Caenorhabditis elegans: one gene and its partner. The protein of the gene in region 2 interacts with the protein of the main gene of each other region in a biochemical or structural test. Each region holds a gene or a part of one and is shown on either strand. Other genes may lie near its edges.

The links. Proteins that work in one complex are often made in the same cells at the same time.
Region 1: the proteins of fbf-2 (region 2) and csn-6 form a complex in vitro, tested with the Caenorhabditis elegans proteins (one study listed by BioGRID).

Annotation. Positions count from the first base shown.
Region 1 is NC_003282.8:13,299,200-13,304,643, reverse strand, and holds csn-6 (COP9 signalosome complex subunit 6), read right to left. Parts: upstream 3,821-5,444; 5' UTR 3,815-3,820; coding exon 3,553-3,814; intron 3,501-3,552; coding exon 3,100-3,500; intron 2,088-3,099; coding exon 1,746-2,087; intron 1,708-1,745; coding exon 1,578-1,707; intron 1,275-1,577; coding exon 1,114-1,274; 3' UTR 943-1,113; downstream 1-942. Other genes in the region: Y67H2A.7 (Peptidase M3A/M3B catalytic domain-containing protein), read right to left, coding at 519-605, 661-750, 797-892; kdp-1 (KASH (Klarsicht/ANC-1/Syne Homology) Domain Protein), read right to left, coding at 4,019-4,456; micu-1 (Calcium uptake protein 1 homolog, mitochondrial), read right to left, coding at 4,631-5,424. UniProt on the Caenorhabditis elegans protein: Component of the COP9 signalosome complex (CSN), a complex involved in various cellular and developmental processes.
Region 2 is NC_003280.10:6,088,325-6,095,614, forward strand, and holds fbf-2 (Fem-3 mRNA-binding factor 2), read right to left. Parts: upstream 3,157-7,290; 5' UTR 3,049-3,156; coding exon 3,007-3,048; intron 2,959-3,006; coding exon 2,725-2,958; intron 2,677-2,724; coding exon 2,501-2,676; intron 2,449-2,500; coding exon 2,196-2,448; intron 2,153-2,195; coding exon 1,539-2,152; intron 1,488-1,538; coding exon 1,359-1,487; intron 1,313-1,358; coding exon 1,109-1,312; intron 1,065-1,108; coding exon 818-1,064; 3' UTR 539-817; downstream 1-538. Other genes in the region: nspg-3 (DUF19 domain-containing protein), read left to right, coding at 3,496-3,758, 3,878-4,032, 4,076-4,172, 4,221-4,431; tpp-2 (Tripeptidyl-peptidase 2), read right to left, coding at 4,556-5,442, 5,491-5,834, 5,881-6,118, 6,164-6,634, 6,688-7,290. UniProt on the Caenorhabditis elegans protein: RNA-binding protein that binds to the consensus sequence 5'-UGUGCCAUA-3' in mRNA 3'-UTRs. Involved in the control of stem cells and sex determination in the C.elegans hermaphrodite germline.

The DNA.
Region 1 (5,444 bases), on a different chromosome or scaffold from region 2:
TCGCATTTTTTGAAGTTTTTTTTCTTCTGTTTTTCCATTTGCTCTCCTTTTGTGAGACACCACGTTTTCAAGATCTAGTCGGAAACAAGATCTACGAAAATAAGATCTACGAAACGAAGATCTACGTTTTCAGGATCTGGCACCATGCCAACTGCGGTTTTCACAGTTTTCTCGAAGAAAATCGAAAAAACGATGCTCCGATATTACACGGCTCGCGTTGTTTATCGTTCAGAAAAGCTTTTTTTGAAATAAAAACTTTTGGAAAACGATAAACAACGCGCGATGCGTGATATCGGAGCATCGTTGTTTCGATTTTCTTCGAGAAAACTGTGAAAACCGCAGTTGGCATGGTGCCAGATCCTGATAGCGTAGCTCTCGTTTTCGTAGAACTCCAAACTGTAGATCTTGCTTTCGTAGACATTGTTTCCGACTAGATATTGAAAACGTGGTGCCTCAAAAATCGCGTTTTTTTTTGTGGTTCTTCTGAATTTGGGAACTTTTTTCGAAGCGAAGCTTACAAGATCCGCCGATTTGCAAATCTCATTCGAAATATCATCGACAATTTGAATAGAAGTTCTGGGATTCTGCGATGGGGTTAGAAGCTCCTGAAAATTTGAATTTTACAGGATTTCAATTGGATTTCAGAGCTCTCCTAAATACCTGAATAAGAGCATCAGTTGATTTTTTAACTGCCGCCGGTAATTCATTGAAACTTTCTGCGGTTTTCAAGTTTTTATTTCCAAATAATCCCTGAAGTTTTAAATTTAAAAAAATCCATTTTCTTGAAAAAAAAAACCGTTTCTTTGTCGACCTTCTCGCTTCGAAATGCTCTAGCCACCCAGCTATTCCGGCTTATCGTTCGACTATGCCGTAATATCACACTTCGAAGCATTTAGTGCTGTAGAAAAAATCACTATAGTCTAAACTAAACTGGATTCTATTGATATAAGGAACGTTTAACCTTTTTTTAATATCGAGAATCGGAGATCAGACATTATATTTCAGATAAATGGGGATGAAAAACACGTAAAGTGGTGTAAAAATTTGAGAAACAATGAAATAAATAAGAAAAAGTGGCATTTTTACAGTGAATTTTTAACAAAAAAAGGATATTTATGAAGCTTGACTCGACTCGTCCGACTCGTTGTGTGCTGTTGCAGATGGTCTTGGAACGTCTGGAATATAGTTGCTTCCCATATTTTCCTCTTGACCTGACAATTCCATTTCGTCCGTGGCGGCTTGCATACCAGAATTCCGACCGAGGAAGTTCATTGCTGAAATCAACATTTTTAATGTTTTCCAGAAGATTTTGAAATGAGGACGCACAAAAATGCTTATTTTTGAAAAAAAAATCGTTCCACGACCAATTGAATCGGCTAAATCGTAAATTTAGAATTTTCCTTCAGGTATTTTTTGTCTTTTTTTTTTGTGCTTTTTAATTAAATTTTAATAGTTGATAAAAAATGTTAAACCTCGTATCTGATGTCAAAACTTCTGAAAAATCCGCTTTCAAAAAATTTCCCCAAGAAGGTGAATTTTTCTGCGTCTTCATAATAATTCAGAATTTCCAAATCTACCTCTTGGCGGAACACGTCGTCTTCTCGATCCAGCTGGAGAATCAGCAGCATGAATTTTTCTCCGTGGTCCACTCATATCGTTCTCCAAATCTTCATCATCAAAATAATCGTCATCCTGGAACAAACATTCCTAAAGGATTTAGAAATATTCTAAATGCATTAACTTACATCTGCCTGCTGCGGACGACCGAGATGTTGTGATTTGAATCGAACCGGATGAGCCCAACGGCTTGTCGATTTTCCATGGAATCCATCGTCGGCGAGAAGATCGGCTCTTTGAGCTGACAACTTGTTCCACACATTTTGCATATTTCCGAGAAGAGTTGTCAATCTTGGCATCAGAGAGAATACGGTCATTGTTTTCTCTTCCTTTTCGAAACTATCAGTGAACTCAGCAGCATATCGATCAATGGTTTTGAGCTTTTGAGCAAGCAAGTTAGCTTCCTTCAAAATTTCAAAATTCGGTTGAAGTGTTCCGTCTTGCACTTTTTCGAGATAGGCAACGATTAGCTGAAAATTATTTTTTTGTAAAAAAAATTAAAGGCGGAGTAGTCGAAATTGTTTTATTGCTTTATTAGACTCAAAATTGTCTGAAAACACCGAATTTCATAATGAAACTTCTTGAAAATTTCTCAATAAAAAGTTATGACGGCTCAAAAAATGGCCTAAAATTAGTTAAAATTTGAAATTTGACCGTCTTGCAATGTTGCAGCGGCTGGAAACAATTTTTTTTTTTGAAAGCACCGTCAAATTTTGAGCATACAATGTCATTATCTTGCGTTTTTAACTCGATTTGGGTACTTTAAAGTCGATGGACGGCGAGATTTCGTAAAAAAAAAATTAAAAATATCGCCGTCCATCGGCTTTAAAATACATAAATGAAGTTGAAAACGCAAGATATTTAAATTTTATACTCAAAATTAGATGGAGATTTCAAAAAATTAGTTTCCAGCCGCTTGACAAGTCGGTCAAATTTCAAATTTTAACTACATTTAGGCTATTTTTTGAGCCGTCATAACTTTTTTTTGAGACGTTTTCAAGAAGTTTCATTATGAAATTCGGTGTTTTCAGTCAATTGTGAGTCTAATAAAGCAGTAAAACTATTTCGACTATTCCACTTTAGTTTGCTGCTGTATTGATTTTCATAACGAGATTTCTCAAAATAATATTAATAAACTTTTTAAGTATGTCAAAATTTCAAAAAAAAATAAGAGCCAAAACTGTCTAAATTCTGAAATTTCGCAAACTTTTCATGTCGCAGCAGCTGTTGTTACATATTTTAGTCGTTTAGCTCGCAATTACTAGTAAATGGAGGTACTTTTTTCAAACATTTTTTCCAAAATTAGGTGTCAATCGACTGAAAATGTGTCTTAAATCAACGAATTAATGCGAGATAAGATCGAAATATGCATTTTAGCGAATTTTAGGTATTATTTTAAAATTTTTGAACCGCTAAACAGCATTTTCAGAAGTCTCATTATGAAATTTTGTCTTTTTCTGGCCTCCAATTTCTCGAACGCACATCAACCCGATTCTGAAGCATGCTCATTGCTGCATCTTGAGCCTCCGCGTGTTTCTTTCCAACTGATTTCCCGTCTTTTCCATGTTTCGTTGATAACTTAGCGATATGATTAACACCGACACGTTCACTTTCTTCCGACACTAAAATCCATTCAATTGGCTTATGCTTCTCCTGATCAGTCACGTCTGCTTCAAACGCGAAAAGTGGAAGTTTACGAGTGGTTCCAGCAGTGATAGAGTTGAGTTTAAGGAAAAGTGTCGCGTCGATTTGTCCGGCTTTCTCTGAATTGCGAACCGCATTGGTGAGTTTTGAGAGAAGAGGTTTCTCTTCGGGAGTCAGATTATCATCCTCCCCAGCACAATAAAGACCGATAACTTGGAGCTCGGGAAACACTTCCAGATCTGAAATTTGGGGAAAAAAAACTAAAATGAGCAAGAACAGAGTAAAACTGACATTGATCTGCTCTTTGAAGGAGATGCTCCGTGCTAAAAGTAACCGGCTCAGCCATTTCTTCTGTCTCCATTTTCAGAACAAATGAATTGATCGCCTCGACTTGTCGTCCATTCTGCCGTCCGAGAATTGCTCCGAACACTTTTTTCACAGTAGGACCCTGTTGGACCTTTGTTCTGGAGTAGTGTTCGGACATTTGCATAATAACCAAAGGATGCAAAAGCACCTTCGAGCTACAGCTCCCGCTTGGTGCGTTCAATGCCATTTCTGAAAATTATTTCGAAATTTGGTTTCGAAATCGGTTTTTTTGTTTCAAGCCAGATAATGATTTGGAAATTTTGAAAATATTCCTGGATTCACTGGTGGAAAAACAAGCTAAACGGGAATTTTATTGATTCACATTGACATAAGTTTTACAGAACATAAAACTTCCTACAAAAAAGAGATAATGCAATCGAGTGGAAATTATTTAGGATCCTGGAGCCTTGACGTGGCTAAGTGGTGGAAGTGGAGTTCCGTTGACCAACGAGATGAGGTTGTAGATGGCGATGACAAAGCAGATGTAGGAAAGGACCTTGGCGATCTTGCTGACAGCGACATCGAATGGTCCAGCCTCTTCGGACTTCTTTCCTTCGAGAAGAGCATTGGCGTAGGTATCAACTCTTTTCTTGAGGATTGGATCGTAGAGTCCGTACTTTCCCATGACAAGGTTTCCGCATTTGGTTCCCTCTGGCAGACGTGGAAGGATCTTTCCTCCGGCTCCGAGTTGCCACTCTCCTGGGTTCAGTGGATCGAATTGTTCGAGGGTTGGTGGGGTCTTTCCGGCGTTGGTTGGAACAGCCTGGAAGCTGGCGGTTCTCATGGAAAAGCGAGCGACGCCCAAAGTCTTTCTCAAAGCCAACGACATGATTTTCCTGAAAAATGTGTTTTAAAATGTGGAGAAAGAAATAAAGAATAAAAAAATGAAATTAAGATAAGAAAAGTGAAACGAACACTTTTTATGAACATAACAAATATAATTTGTTAAAAAGAATGAAAAGCTTTATTTATAAACAAGTATTTACAGTGGCCATGGGCACCACTAATAAAATGGAAGAGGACTGGCGTGATAAGCTCGTTTTCCACATTCCAGAACTGCATCAAACAAACGGAAAAGTCCAGTATCTCTTGGTCGCTCTAAACCTCTACGCATTCTTCTCCTCATCACAGCAACCATTTCTTCATGTGATAATTTTCCATCCAAATTGTCATCGAACAAAGTAATCACCACATCCACAACGTGATCCGATAGAGGTATTCCAGTCACTTTGACCGCAACTCGTTGAAGTAGCTTCGCATCTATCGACATTCCAGCCATTTTATGAAAGTGTAGAGCAATATCTACATCGTCAATGTGATACAAAAACTCGAAAAATGCTTTCGTCTCTCCAAAACTGATTCCTTTCAAATTTTCTCCTTTAAATCTTCGTTTAACCCGCTTCAACATATGCTTCTGTTTCTTCTCATTAATTTGAGCATGAAGAAGGAGAAGTTGAGCAAAACTATCTTCGTTGATAAGTCCATCCGGGTTATCCAGTGCATCTCTCCGTTCAAATTCCATCTTTAAAATGTCGTGTTGTAGACGCTCTTGAAACTCGATAAATTTTTCAGACGACAAGCTCCCCTTTCCGTCTTTTCCAAAGAAATATGTTTCGAGAGCGGAGTTTGTCTCGACACGGAACGACTGGTTTGGCGTTATATGATCTCGATGACGCTGTCCTACAGTTGTTTGGGACATAATAAGCTGTTGAACTTTTGTGAATTCTTCTTTATCCAGCGCACCGTTCCCATCTACATCGAAGATTTTGAATGCGAGAGCGAAATCCGCGTGAGAGGCTGGAAAAGTCAATGATATT
Region 2 (7,290 bases):
GTCAATTCAACTATTCCATCATCATTGCTGGGTCTTGGTCTTGCCACTTGGTTTGGAATCGAATTCAACGCTGCAACAACACAAATTGTGTCAGGAAGTACGAATTTATCTTGACAATTTTAATTTGAAAGTATTTTTGTTTCAGAGTTCTAGCCGAAGAACATTTTCTCGATGTTGGATAACAATGAGAGGATTGCCACCACCTATACGAGGACCACATGAGAGAAGGACCGCCAATGTTCGCGGAGTTCTTCCTCATCCCCAGTATCCAATTTTTGTTTTTCTATTTTCTGAGAGTCCCATTATTTTGAAATCGATGCAATTGTAAGATAAATTTCAATATGATAATTGAACTATATTTATTCTTCATGGTTTCTAATTTGATTAAATTTACAAAGTCAACATTTGTCGGTTATCAGTTTTTTGTTCTCCGAGCAAAGAACAACTTTTCTCTTCGCTTTCAAAATTGTTTTCTGAGCAGGCATTGTATGGAAGCAGGAAGCTCTCGGTGGAAGCATGACAAAGACTCGAACGATATTTTGCCAAGTTGTCTAATTTTATCTGGATTCATTAAAATCGAAAATAAAAAATTAACAAAAACAATGAACAGTAAACAGAAAGAAACAATAACACAACTGCATAAAAAGCAATAAAATAACAAAAAAGAAAAGAAAAAACAAAACTGGGCAATGATAAGAGTGGGGAAGGCACAACATCGATCTTAAAATCGAAACGAAATCATTGCACCAGTTTAAAATATTACAAAACAACAGAACATAAGTGGGTGGGATGAGATTTATGGTGAGAAAGTTCCACCTTAATCATCGCCGTGACTACCGGAAGAAGAAAATTTGACAGAGACTGAAGACTTATTGCTCCGTGGCTCTAGCATCAGGCTTCCTTCCTCGATCCCATTCTTCTCCAACTCCGGACCATCGTGCTCGGAAGCAGTACTGAAGTAATCCGTCTTGAATGAATCGTGTCCCGAAGATTGGAGTTCATAAATCGGATGAGTTGAACGGAGATTGGCAAGCGTCTCGATCATCTTTTTGCCGGATGAGAACCTGAATTTCGAATTTCAAAATATTATTGTGACAATAGTGATAACCTTGACAAGCGATGCCTTTCTTTCGTAACTCTCGAGTGCAACTTTTTCAGCCAATCCTGGAATGAGATTGCATGGTCATAGCCTCCTTCTTTCGTTTGCCGTCTTCCAGACACAGCATCACAGCAAATAGTCAGCATGCATTGAACGACGTAGTTTCCGAATTGATGGAACATCATGATATCGAGGGCATCTTTTCCCGTGTCCCTGAAAAAACATTTCATTTTTATGTGACTGAAACTAATGTTTTTACGGATGTGGAATGTATCCGTCGAAAATCTCGTCCATCATTTCGGCAAGAAGTTCCAATGGTGCATGTAGGAATGCTTTCTCAACAACATGAGAAGCAAACTTTTCCTGGGACAACGAAAGAAGGTTGCGCCTGAAATATTGATGATTAAAAATCAAGTAGATATTAAACAATAACACTCACATGAGGCATTTCTCTATGATACATTCCCGATAAACGGCCAGATCATCATTGGATACAATATGCTGTATTATGTAATTGGCATACTCGTTCGTAGCTAATTCTTGGCACCGATTAGTCACAGAAGTCATGAGTCGTTGGAGCGCTCGTTCACGAAGATTTTGAGCAGCGGAAGTTAAATCAACGTTCATTGAATCAGCAGTGAGCTTTTCGATAATAGTTTGCACAACACGGCACCCATACTTATCAGAACAAATCTGACGGAGGTGCTCTGGGGTGGCAACGAAATCCACAATAAACTCCCAATTCTTCAGTGGGATGACTGCTACGACTTTCTGAATGACGTGATTGGCATTTTGATCAACACAGATTGCGATAAGACGAGCATCACGAGGTAGAGCTTGAACAAGTTTACACGCAAGGGATAAATCCATGTTCTGGAGACTGGATTGGATAACACGACACGCAAATTTGTCCAAGCACATATCTGTCATTTGGGAACTGATGAAGTTCTTCAACTTTTCTTGTCGCTTTGTGTATCCGTCATCATTAGTTGCCAATGAAATTCCAATAACGCTTTGTACCAAATAATTTCCAAAGATGTTCGTGCTCAATTTCTGAAAAGAAAAGTCATGTGTGCTCGCAGAAACTAAAACTTACAAGGAAATCATCTTTTCTCCCAATAACTTGTTCAAACAATTGGAACTTCTGATAAGATGTCAGGCTGCCCTTCACTGCCTTTTCTAGGAACTGGCACCCAGTTTTGTCAACGGCAAACTTCATTAAATCGCCACTATCCAAAACTTCAGAGAGCGACAATCTTGAACGCATTTCACCATTGGAATCCAAGGACCAGGTTGGCAGCACATTGTTTGATCTTGTGAATGATCTAGAGTTCCTCGACAGAGCGGGTCTATAAATAAAAAAGAATAAATACTAGAGGATAGTGATAAATTAATTCGAACCTCGAATATTTCAAATGGTAGTGTTTTGAAGAACCATAGCTCTTGCTACGATCAATATCCGCAGAGAAACATCGGACATTTTGTGAAAAATCATCCGACTCGAGACGCGAGGAATCCGTATCAGACTGAATGAATGATGAAGTTCGGCTACGCGAGACCGGCATGAACACATTGGGCTGCAAATCAGTAATGAAAACAACCAAAAATTGCCTACTCTAACTTACAAAGCTCTGAAAACTCCGAAGGCTCATCAAATCAGTTAGCGGGGTTGGTGGCCGCGATGTAACAATGTGATTCTGTTGATGGCGAGCATAATTAATCCCATCGTTCATATTGAGCATTGAGAAATACGGGTTGAGAGAGTTGAAGTCCCACATAGGTGTCTCATGCTGCGCCATTGGTGATTGTGCGGGAGTCGGATAACTGTCAATCCCTGTAGAAGGAGGCTTCTGGGAAGTCTGTAAAACTTAGGCCATTTGTTTCTTTAGAAGTTACTGAAAACTTACTTTTCTGAACTGATTCGTTCTGCGCATCTTTGATTGGTCCATGTCGATTAGTTGATAATTTTATTAGAATGATTACTCATAGAAAAATTATCAATTCACAGAAAATAGGAATGGGAATATGAAAATAATATTTAAAATCGAATTCGCAAATGACGAAAGTGTGTCACATACTCTGGTGTTTGCGTACTTTGTCATTGTCTACCGTAACCAAATTGAAATTTTCAAATAATGCGAGATTCTAATCACATGTTTCAAGAATTAAAAAGTGTATTTAAAATAATTATCAATTTGATTACTAATGATTACTAGAAACAATAAAAATTTTTGGAAAATTCCGGGACCGTAACATATCAAATTGATAAACACATTTCAACCTCCCGAAAAGCTATAAACCGGTCGACTGACGGTGACGACATTTTACGAGCTATTCTGTTTCAGACTAAACACTTTAAATTGCTCGAAACACAAAATTTTCTTTCCCTATATTTGATGATTTGGAATATTCTCGTTGTTGTGGTTACGATCGTTACTAAATCGCTAGAGACACTCGAAGTTGATTTAGCAGGTCTAGTGAAGCAAACCGTAGCGGGAAACGAAGGAGTGCTGCATAACTGCAGTTCTGATCAAGATCAAGTGCTACAACAATGTTATATAGATATGTTTCAATCATATGGTTCAAATGTGACTAGCCTTCCCCCAGCAGACGAAGATCCATTTAAGAAAATTCGGTACGATGCCACTGGAATGTGTAGGTATGTGAAGGTATTACAACATTGCAACACCTTTTAAATTGTAAAATTATTGAAGAATTTCAATAGAACCGGTTTTACATGCTAGAATAAATATTTTTAAAAAAGACGAATAATTACAGTACATATACAACTCTACGTCACTGTCATAGTGACGTCATCAATGATTGTCTCAACTATAACACTTTCAATGCAATTTTTGGTTCAGAAAGCAATGCAGCTTATTACATCTCACAAACGGGGTTTCTTGAATTCTATTGTAATTATGGAAATGATTGTGAGGTTTTTCATTCTCGTTCATTGTTTTATAAATATTTCAGTTGTGGCATATTATGAATGTATGCAAGCAATCAGTTTGAATGATCTCTCTGACACGATTTATACTGAATGTTCCGTTTTGGAAGTTGGCAGTTGCGAGTGAGTCTAATAGTTTCAGACTTATTGAGATTAGTTTTTAATTTTGAGCTCCGTATCACGAACCACACAATGTGAGCGAGCAGTAGTGAGAAAATCATGTGGAAATAGTGCTGTCAAATCATACTGCCAATATCAGAAGATTCTCACCCACATGACTGGGTGGAACTTCTGTGAGTACATGCCATGCATCAATTCGTCGCAACCTCGAACATTCTTCTTCTTAATAATTTTAATGTATCTCTGCAAAATTTTTGTTTGATCTCATTTATAAAACAATAAAAGTTTATCTATTCAAATGGGAAAATCATTTGATTCACAACGGAAATGGAAGCAAAAAAGCTTCCAGAAAAAAGAAACCCGCGAAATTTCTTATGATACACTAATTAGAAAAGACGGTAGGAGGTTCTGTTTTTGATCAGAGCCGAATTTTTAAAGTGAGTAGCAAGATGATTCCACTCGAGACTTTCGCAGACTTCAGCCAATGATGTATCAACAGCTTGCGAATCAGTAGCAGACGACTTCAGTTCATCTCCAGCTTTGTTGAGAAGCTTTGCACATCTTCCAAATTGTCCAAGAGCAGCTGCATGTTTGGCAGAGATCAGTGCAGTTTTAGTATCATCAGCAGACAACCAAACGAGAAGCTTGACGTAAAACTGATTTCCAGTCCAATTACTATCCAACTTTTTCAGTTCTTCAGAGACAGTTGCATCAATTTGTTCAGATTTTGATTTCAGTGCTTCATAACCTTCAGACTTCTTATTGATCACTTCTCCTTGCTTTCCACCGAAAATTAGAGGAGTGATTCCTCCGAAACGAAGACTTGCTGGAACGTCGAACTTGCTCTTACGAACTTCAATATCCTGCTCCAATGATGAAAGAGCTTGCAAAGCGAGAATAATACTTTTCTTCCGTTCCTCAAATTGTGAAATCAACTTCACCACATCCTTTCGCTGGTCCTCACTGCCTCCGGTTAGTGCCAGCCATTTGTCAACAGTAAGGAGATCATCATCATGTTCTTGCTTGACGGATGAGAACTGAAGAGTTTCATTCGGTTTTGTGATTTGCAAAATTTGACCACATAATTCAATAATCTTCTGCACGTTTTCCGGTGTTTGATCCACAAGTTTTGCTTGCATCAATTGCTTTACTCGATTCTGAAGTAGTGGGAGATGATCTGGATACTTCTGCAGACAAGCTTCGAAAAATTCTTTCGCTGCCTTTTCGTCTGTCAATTTTTGCACCCATGATACTTCCAAATCGCGAATGGCGTCTGTAAATATGAATTTAATAAAAGATACAATTTTTAATTATTATCTACCAGTCATTTCCTGATTTTGATTCGTATCTTTCTTTGTTGTAACCATTGACAATCCTTTCGTAGGACGAGTAGAGTACTCACTGAGAAAGTAAATAACTTCAGATTTGTCTACATCACTCAAATCAGAATCCTTGAGAGCACTAAATGTTCCAGCAAGGAAACTTCCACTTGTTGGTACGATAGTCTTTGGCAATTTATCATCAGCGATATTCATAGCGTAGACGGTCATTTCTTGATTTGGAAGAAGGGCTTTTCCAGCAAATTTGCACTCTTTTCCAAGTGTTGCATCGCTGGCAGAAGCTGCGAGGTCAACAGAAATTTTGTTTCCAAGTTTCACATGAACACTGAAACACAAAAATCATTTCAGTTAGAATTTAAAGAATTACTTACAGCAGAGGAAGTTCCTTCATTCCTTGCAAAACTTGATCATCCGGATATCTAATCTGAGCCTGAATAGTATAATCTCCTTTCTCAAGCTTCTGAGTCCAACGATCCGGGTACGAAGAAGAAGCACCCACAAACGACTTGTTTGCTCCGAAAATTTGGAAGAGTACACAGTCCACAGGAGATTCATACAAATATGGAGTAAGGCCAGCAAGTTGAAGTTGCACTTCACTTGGTTTTTGAACTGAAAAAATAATATTTTAATAATTATGTAGTTAAAAAAGGTTACCTTTAAGCTGATAAGTCAACAGAAGACGATTGATTTGAAGTCCAGACGTAAGGAACATATCACGTGGTCCCAATGGTTCTACTTTGGCAGATTGTGGTTTCAGTGATACAACAAGTGATTTTAGAGAAATCGAAGGAGAAACGTCGATACTTTTCGTTGGAGCAGCTTGGAAGCGAATGGGCGTGTTAGTTGCTCCATGAATCAGTGAAATAGAAGTTGGCTTTTTGACTCCAAAGAAGTCGATGGTCATGTCAACATCCACAGGATTCTTTCCACGTGACCAAGCACGAACAACACATGCTTCAAGAGTCTTTCCACCTTGAACAGTAATCGACTTGCTCCATTCATTTCCAATTGGACCCTGTATTTTTTGAGTTTCTGTGTTTCGGGAACATTTATCATCCTCAATGTAGACCGTATGAAGTGTAAATCTATCCATTTCGTCTTTGTTAGTAGATCGGAGTGTTATCTCTGTAAAATGATGAGATTAATAGAATTTTCTTTAATTTTCATTTTTTACTTACTTGCACTGGTTGCCCACGACGGTACTTCGACAAATCGTCTTTCGGTGACTCCCGATTTACCAACAAGTCTAGAAGTGTATTGATCAACCGCTACCTTCTCAGGATTGATTACAGTAACCGGAATACGGAAAATCGGTCCCAATGATGGATCAGCCGTATCAATTCCAACAATTTCAGTGTAGTTTGCACCTTTTGGTGCTTTTGATGCATCAACGGTCACAACCATTGTTCTTTCTTGAGCTACCACAAACATTGTTTGTGGATGAGAAACCCATGGAGCAGTTGATTGTAAAATAATCTGTTTCTCAAAACTGATTGCAGGTAAATTGTTATCAGATAGATGATTCTGGAAAATTGGTTCAACGCCAATCGTGAATTCCTGCGGTCCATTCCAGTTAGGCTCACGAACATATACACCTTTCGATTTCTTGCAGTGATTCGATACATTGATCTCGAAATGTGTCAGTCTTGGTGGGAACACTTTATTGACTAAAATCTCGGAAAGTTTTTCATACGCAGTGGCGATCTTGATCATTCCTTGTCCTTGCGAAAATGACTCAATATGTGGAAGCATATAGGCAGTATTTTCCAATGCCATGCGAA